Linked DNA regions of Lonchura striata. The protein of the gene in region 1 binds, or shares a complex with, the protein of each later gene. Links are inferred from orthologs where the notes say so. Each region holds a gene or a part of one and is shown on either strand. Other genes may lie near its edges. The genes, in order: EDAR and EDA.

Region 1 (3,907 bases):
TTAAGCCCCTTCAGCCAGACCTGAAACTTGTTTTTACTCTGAACAACACTACATTAACAGCTCCTCAGACTCCATTATGTTGTGTAGAAAGGACCCCAGAGACTAAAATGCCTTGGTAAATCTCACTGAACAGCTATGTTGGCTAATACTGTCAACTACTGACAAATATGCCAGCTGTTCATATCTGGAGAAGTGATATTTTATGCCCCTAAACATGCTGTAGTGCCAGCATAAACCATACAGGGTATTTAAGGTGCTGTCATGCAGCTCATATGCAGGAGGCAGGACTCAGAAGGTGACCCTCTGAAGCTACAGCTGGAGGTCAAGATGGATTTCTTTGAGTGTTTAAAATGGCACTGCATAGCTGAGCTTGTTCGCTTTCCATTTCTAGTAAGAAGAAAAAGTTATCTAGTTGTTCCAAACAGTGAGATTTCAGTAAGATTAAAAACATCTTCTTTAGGGTCCCTTCCAGGCCTAACTATTTTACGATTCTGTGTTTATTAAACTCACCAATGCTTTTGAAATATTTAAATGTATTGTTTTAGTAGAGATGAAAAACCATAATTTACCAGTATTGTACCTACAGTCAACTTTGACATGGAAAGGCTGTCAGAGATTTTGACATCTGAAAAGTACCTCCCAGTAGACGGAGTATCCCATACCTCCTCTACCTCTCCTTGGGTAGAGCAGAGGTCCGTGGATAAGTCCTTACCCTGGGAGACAAGGACCACACTCCGCATCATTCTCCTGATCCCCAGGTGTCATGACTGTGGCTCGGAAAAAGCCCTCGCAGTCCTTGTGCCGTCTGCATATCTGGTAACCTCCTTTGGAAAACTTCTCAGAAGGGCAGGGGACGCAGCCATAGTCCTCATCTTTGGTGCCATATCCACATGTCTGCAACAACACAGAGTCACTCAAAAGCAGTCTTGTGCTGCACACCAACTTCTAGCAAAAGAGAATGTTCACAGCCTGCCCCATTGGCCTTGCAGCACAAAGGGAAAGGAGTCTGTCCTTTGGCCTGTTAGTGTCTATCCTAAAAAGACCATGCAGGGATATGAGGATGCAGCACTCTGTGTGCTGGAAAGGGAGAAGGGGAACTGGAGAATCACACTGTTTGTGAGTGGCCCCCCCATACTACTTCTACCATAATCCAGCAAACTGTGGAAGTGAATTTCAGATGCTGCTTGGATAGAAAGTGAACTGAAAATGGAAGAATAGCGATGACTCCTACAGGAGAAACACAGCTGCAGCAGGGCTATCAGCAGTTTCAGGTTAGGAAACCCCAGAGGGAACCCAAAAGGCAATGTTTGAATAAGATTTTGTAACCTCTGAAATCACATGTCCCAGCTGAACATTGCATTTAGATTAAATAAAACTAAACCAAACTGGTTATTCAAACATACTTGTTTGGGACTACCAACTGTGTGAAATGCTTGCAATAGGATGTTTATCCCATTAAAACCAAACAAGATTTCAGTAATTTTTTTTTTCTAATAAGCAATAATTACCTACTGTAAATCAAATGGTTACTTGGGAACCATAATTTAAAATATTGCGGAAACATCCAAACATCCAAGTTCCTCTAGTGCCAGAATATCTTAGCAGGAGAGCAAAAGTAACTTGTCAGTGTGAGGGCAAGCAAGCCAGACTGACCAATTTATCACTCTGTGTTGGAATGTCAGCATCAGATTCTAAATAGCTACTGAGATGAGAACAGACTCAGAGACTGTGTATGGAACTTTAACCTTTCCATTTTTACAGTATCTTTTTTAACAGGCTGCTCCTGGGATATGGGTTGCTGGCGTGCATGCAAGGTGCCTCACTCCCATGGCACACTTGGAGGTGTGAGTGCTCCTGCTTAGGCATCCTCAGCTTTCCTATTTCCTTTCCTACCTATTACTTCCACACAACAAAGCATTTGGGTTTTTTGCATTTAGTGCTTGATTTGTTCCCCCAGCAGCAGAAGAAGCTGGCATTACCATGTAAGGCTCTTCACCCGGCTCACACTTGGGGCAGTCGTGGCACATGCCAGTGGTCTGGTTGTAGTACTCGTTCTCACCGCAGTTGGAGTATTCGGCACTGGCAGAGTACACCAGGGAGACCTGTCACCAGAGAGCATTCCAGAGCACTGTCACTTCCACTGCCATCGTCCTCCATGCCTTACCCCCTCCCCTTGCACATTTGCTGCTGTTCAGCAGGGCCAGCACTGCAGAGTGAAACACCTAAAGCTCAGAAGCAGAAGTGGTGACACTATTTAAATGGAAACAGATGCAGGTTTCAGCAACCTGGTATTTCCAAGAGTTTCTCAGAGACTGACATTCATGCTTGTTTGGCACTGCCACTCCTTAAAACACTGAAGGTCACAGTTCCTGACCTTGTAACTCACATGCTCTCCCACACAAGCAAATGCCCGAGTTCACACCCTCATGACTCCCAGCTCTAAATGAGCCTTCATAAATGTGACTGCAAGGGACAACTATAACAACCAGAGATAATGCACTGCCTCAGGCCTCAACCACAATAGGGCTGTGCTTCATGTCACAGCCACGCTAATGTGCTCTTCTAGCACTTTCTGTCTCTGCTCCATCCTAGGTCTTTCTCCTTCTCCTCCTTCCTAGCAGCCACGGTTTAAACTGCACATTCTCAGGCGTTTTATGGAATGAAAATTATCTACATTGAGGTTCAGTCCCTAGGTCATGTGTGGGTCTGCTACCATTCACGGGTGGTTATGAATAACCCAAGCAGAACCCTGTTATCTTTGCACACTATAGAGACATGTGCACACAGAAATACACAGAAATACCTACCATCAGGAAAGGGAACACGTGAGTCCATTTACGTTCACCCAGGTGAGCCATGCTCTCTTGATATTTTACCTGAAAAGATAGAATTGGTGTTTGTTTATGAACATGAGTAAATATTTGTGTGTGTTGCCAAAATAAGAACAGAAGGGCTCATAAGCAGAACAAAGGTTACATGGGAGCAATGCCCAGAGGTCTAAACAAAGAGAGGGGGAGATGTGCACGTGCAGTTGTGCACACACAGGCACCACACCCCCTTTCTGCACATCTCTTTCCTCTCTTTGAGAAGACAATGGCAGGAGGGGATCCACTCTTGCCATATTTACAAAAATCTGTAAAAGATGAGGAACCATCTTGGCTTGCTGAGACATCTTCCCATGAGGGAATGGAGGGCTGCATATTGACCACTAAATGAAGGAGGTAGTCTTGATCACTGAAATGAAGTAGCCCAGCTTGTGTCCACACCAATTAGTGCTTGACCACATTCCATCAGGTTTGTCTGGGAAAGAACTGTATGGAGCAGCCAAAGCAGAGCTGGGGAGTGACCCAATGGCAAGCAGTGTGGGCAGTCAGAACATCAGCAGGGCTACACTTTCCTTGCCAGCTCCTGTGGATGCACTGAGAAAGCCCAGAGCTGCTCTCCTTTCTTTAGCAAGCATCGGCTGTTTTTTGTTCTTGATACGCAAACTGCAGATCTGAGATGTTAAACCCAAGGAAGGAGCCAAACCTTATATTCAAAAAGCTATTGAAACAGTTGGGAAAAAGAAAGGCTGAAATCTATGTTACAAACACATATGCTAACTTATTTAGTTTCTTAAAATGATTAATTTTTAATAAGAGCTAATGTTCAATGTTCAATTACTGGATTTCTTTCTAAGGTGAAAAAAGAGACAGGAAAAGGAGGCTCAAATTGGTTTTTTTTTTAGCATGATACAACCTATTTAATTATATTGTTGCAGCACATAACACGCCCTGAGGGTTTTAGAGCTCCAAATTGCAAGTGCTTGAGATACAGTTGCAACATTTTGCTCCTACCAGATGTAAAATATTCTTTCAATTTTCCATGTCTCAGACACTGGGAAACTTTTAGCCTCCCAGAAGAGTAC
Region 2 (3,907 bases), on another chromosome or scaffold:
GGAAAAAAAACCTTACTGCAGGAAAACAAGGCCAGGAAGGGCTGGAAAAGGTCATCCTCCTCCCCAAAGGCAGGACAAGGCCACCATGGGATTCTTCATGGCTGTGATCTGTGGCATGAAGACCCCACAAATTCTCAGACGATGTGTTCCAGGCCTTGGAAGGGTTTCTCACGGAAGGGACAACCTCATGGGAAACTCACCCTGCCCCCAGGTCTGGGAGCACAGACCTGGCACGGGACCACCCAGCTCTGGGAGCCCACCCAGGGGGTTCAGCAGGACCCATGGCAGGGGCGAGCCGGTGACAATCCTTGGTGCTGGCCCTTCCTGGAGGTCTGGGGTTGGCTCTGACATCTCCCTGCACTGCTGACCCCTCTGCATCTGTGATCCTCCAAAACCAGCTGGAATCCTCCTCTGCAGTGCCACCTCCTCTGCGGCCATTAACACCTCGCATTTAACTCCTCTTTTACTGTTCCAAATCACATCCTATCCTCTTCATTCCACCTCTCAAGTATGTTCAGAACATCTCTAATTCCTCAATTCAAATTTCCTGGCAGCCTGTGAGCATCACACAGCACCTTCATCATCTCATTATCCCTCTCGTTATCAATTAAACCCCCTGATTGGAAATAGAACCAGCACAGGCTTTGCCAGCTCCTTTTGATGAGCTTTAAGGTTCTTCCAAACCAAACCAGGTGTGATTCGATACCACCCTTCCCTCTCCAAATCCGCTCCTCTCCCTGGTTCACCCTTTCCCAGGTTGTTTTCCAGCTTCCATTAGTCTCCAGCAGTGACAACCAACCTTTAAAAAGCTGGAGAGGGCAGCGACAGCTGCCCCAAAATGCTCACACACCCCTGGGCACCCCGGGCTCGGCCGTGTCCCCGGGCAGAGCGGCGACAACGCTGCCCCTGCCCGGGAATCGGCGGCGTTTGGTGCCCGCTCTCAGGAATCCTCCGCTGGCTGCGGAGACAGCGACTGCCGGGACGGACCGGGACCGGGATCGGGTCCATCCATAGCGGGACCGGTATAGGGTCCATCCATACCGGGATTGGGATCGGGATGGGAATGTCGGCCGGGACCGGGACAGGGCCCTCCTGAACCGCGCTGGCCACGGGCCCAGTCATCACCGCGCCTGTCCGTAACAGGACAGGGACAGGGATAAAGGGCCGGGATCGGGACTGGGACCGGGATCGGGACCGGGATCAGGATCGGGCTCGCAGCGGGGCGCGGCTCCAGCCGATGTGACTCCGCCCTCTAATTTGCATAACTCCGCCCACCGCGCTGCCGTCGCTGCCCAGGCCCCGCCCCCTCCCCGCCCAGGCCCCGCCCCCGGCCGGACGCTGAGGCGGCGCTGCCGCACCGAGCCCCGCCCGGCCCCGCCGAGCCCCGCCCGGCCCCGCCCGTCCCCACCGAGCCCCGCCGGCCCCGCCCGGCCCCGCCGGCCCCGCCCCCGGGCCGGCCCCGCCCCCTGGCGGGGCGCTGGCGGCCCGGCCGCGCAGCCCGCGGTGCCCGGCGCGCCCCGGGAGCAGCAGCGCTGGGGCCGCTCCGCGCCGCTCCGCCCGAGCGCACCATGGGCGCGGAGCGCAGGGCGGCGGCGCCGGCTCCCCGCGGCTGCGCCTGCGGCGGCGGCGGCGGCAGCTGGCGGCTCTTCCTCGGCTTCTTCGCGCTGTCGCTGGCGCTGCACGTCCTGACGCTGGGCTGTTACCTGGAGCTGCGCTCCGAGCTCCGCCGCGACCGCGGCCCGCAGCCCGCGGCCCCGCCGCGCCGGGACGGGACGGCGGCGGCGCCCGGAGCCCCGGCCGGGGGCCGCCCGCAGCGCGCGGCCGAGGGCGCGGAGCGGCGCCAGCAGGTGGGTCCGGCCGGCGGCGGGGGCACCGCGGGGGCTCCGCGCCGCTCGGGGCCGCCCCCCGGCTCCATCCCCGCGCTCGGGAGCCGCGGCCCGGGGCGCTTCGGAGCGGCCCCTCGGGGGAGTTTGCTGGGAGAAGTGGGGAAAAGCCCCGAGCTCGCGGTGCGGGGGTGAGGCGCGGGGGGAGCTCGTCTGGGCTGGGGGTGACGGGCTGCGGGGCCGCCCGTGTTCCACCTGCTGCTCGCCGTCTCCTTGTCGCGACGGACCCGCCGTGAGTCCCGACAGCGCAGCCTTGGCCGGGGGCAGCGGCTCTGCCCCGGCGCTTGCGGGGTGCCCCGGGGCGCTGCTGCCGGGGAGCCCCGCACGGCTCGGCCCCGCAGCCGCCGGACGCGCCGGGTCCCGGTCCCGCACGGCCTCCGCTCGCTCCCCTCGCTCCTCCCGCGCTCAGACTGCGCTTCTCCCCCAGCCCAGGTGCTTCATCTTTTGGGCGATGCCTCGGTGTCCCCCCGCAGCAGCCGCTCAGCCTCTGCGGCACAGGTGGGCAGCAGCCTCCCGGTTGTCCCCGCCGGTGTCCCCAGCCCTTGCGGGGGTCGCCTGTCCCGAGAGCCTCTGGGAGAGCCGGAGCGGAGCTGGGGCCTCCTCTCGCAAACTTAGCTCATTTTTTCCAGGCACGAAACTTCGCTGCGAGCAGGATAAGCTGGAGGAAGGAGTTTCCTCCCCTCCGAGCCTCCCGAGCGGATGGCCCGCTCCCCCAAGGTGCCGGGTGGCTTTGCCGCGGAGTCTCAGCGGGGTTTCGGGGGAGATGCCAAGCCCTGCCTCGGCACCCCGGCGGTCCTCGCCCGGCCGGTTATCAGTGTGTGGGGGGAAGGACAAAAATAGCTTTGATAAAGCGGCGAGTTTGGAACTCTTCCTCTCACTTGGCAGCGGGAGCCGTTCCGCCGCGCCGGCCTCGGCTGCCCCCGGGAAAGCCGGGCTTGCGCTTCCTTCGCTGCCTGGATCCCGCAGCTTCCCGTGACAAATCCAAGTCCAGCGTTGAACCGGAGGGAAGCCGAGCTCCCGGGTCATCGCTCTGCCCTCGCTGCTCCTCGAGCGGTGTCAACACAGAGCGAGCCGGAGCGGTTTGATGTCGTGCTGGGATTCCTGGGTTGCCTTGGAATAGCGCGCGGCTGGAGTGCCTTTCGTGTTATCGTGCTGGATCTGTTTAGTCTTTCGAGCTCTTCTTTCCAGCGAGTGTATAGTGAAATACCAGGGCAAATACTTGAGGCATTCATAAATTACAGCGTTAGATAATTTGTCTCTGGATGCGGACGGAGCTCCGAGCGTCGCTCGCTGCAGCTGACGGACTCCAGATAAGGTAACGCTAATTATTTATTTCTTTATTCTACATCTGGCCTGTCAGGCTTGAGATGAAATATTCTTTGGGGCACATTGAAGCAGTTGGGCTGGAGGGAAAGGTTGCTGGTAGTGGGGACACGGGGAAGGAAGGCTGAGCATCCCGAGCTGCTCCGCTGCTGTGACAGCGCATGATTAATGGGGTTTGTAGTGGTGCTGCTCACCCTTTCTCACTGATTTTTCTGCCTTGCAGCTAAAAACAAGCACTTTGGGTGTCCTGGGGTGCTGTGAGTTCATCTCTTCAGTGATTAAAACAGTGAAATCAGGGGTTTGCAATCAGCTTTATTTAGAAAGTTATTGTCCAGCTTTGGGGTACGTGTGGGGTTCCCAGCAGCCCTTCTAAGCTGTGCTGCTGATAAACTCAGTGCGATCCCATACATGTGATGCTTGCATAAATTGGGCTGAAATTACTAAATAATTAATTCAAGTGATGTGATCAATGACATTTCTCTCCTGAGGACCATGGTCAGAGTTCATTTGCGGGGGACCAATGACCACAGAGCTGTGAGCCCTCAAATGTCCTTCAGCTGCTGAGGTGTCCTCAGTGAAGAGGCCGAGTGCTGTGTGTGTTGTGGTTGTACAAATTTAAACCCAAAAGACACTCCCCTTCCTGACCCTTTTTTCTTTATTTTAAAATTATTTTATTTCCCCCCTCCCTTCCTGACCTGAGG

Evidence for each region.
Region 2: the proteins of EDAR (region 1) and EDA are in contact, whole or in part, in a crystal structure (PDB 7X9G), measured with the Homo sapiens proteins. The link is inferred for Lonchura striata from reciprocal best matches to the Homo sapiens genes EDAR and EDA. Residues at the interface, in NP_071731.1 of Homo sapiens: Glu55, Pro56, Tyr57, Leu58, Lys78, Ile86, Arg88, Arg89, His90, Asp92, Glu94, Gly95, Phe97, Val134; in NP_001390.1 of Homo sapiens: Gln256, Ser258, Ala259, Gln261, Asp265, Asp273, Arg289, Tyr310, Tyr311, Lys340, Thr341, Tyr343, Ser370.

Annotation. Positions count from the first base shown.
Region 1 is NC_134604.1:90,405,057-90,408,963, forward strand, and holds the start of EDAR (tumor necrosis factor receptor superfamily member EDAR), read right to left. Parts: upstream 2,871-3,907; 5' UTR 2,859-2,870; coding exon 2,808-2,858; intron 2,103-2,807; coding exon 1,980-2,102; intron 895-1,979; coding exon 713-894; intron 1-712. UniProt on the Homo sapiens protein: Receptor for EDA isoform A1, but not for EDA isoform A2. Mediates the activation of NF-kappa-B and JNK. May promote caspase-independent cell death.
Region 2 is NC_134616.1:5,474,543-5,478,449, reverse strand, and holds the start of EDA (ectodysplasin-A), read left to right. Parts: upstream 1-1,568; coding exon 1,569-1,847; intron 1,848-3,907. UniProt on the Homo sapiens protein: Cytokine which is involved in epithelial-mesenchymal signaling during morphogenesis of ectodermal organs. Functions as a ligand activating the DEATH-domain containing receptors EDAR and EDA2R. May also play a role in cell adhesion.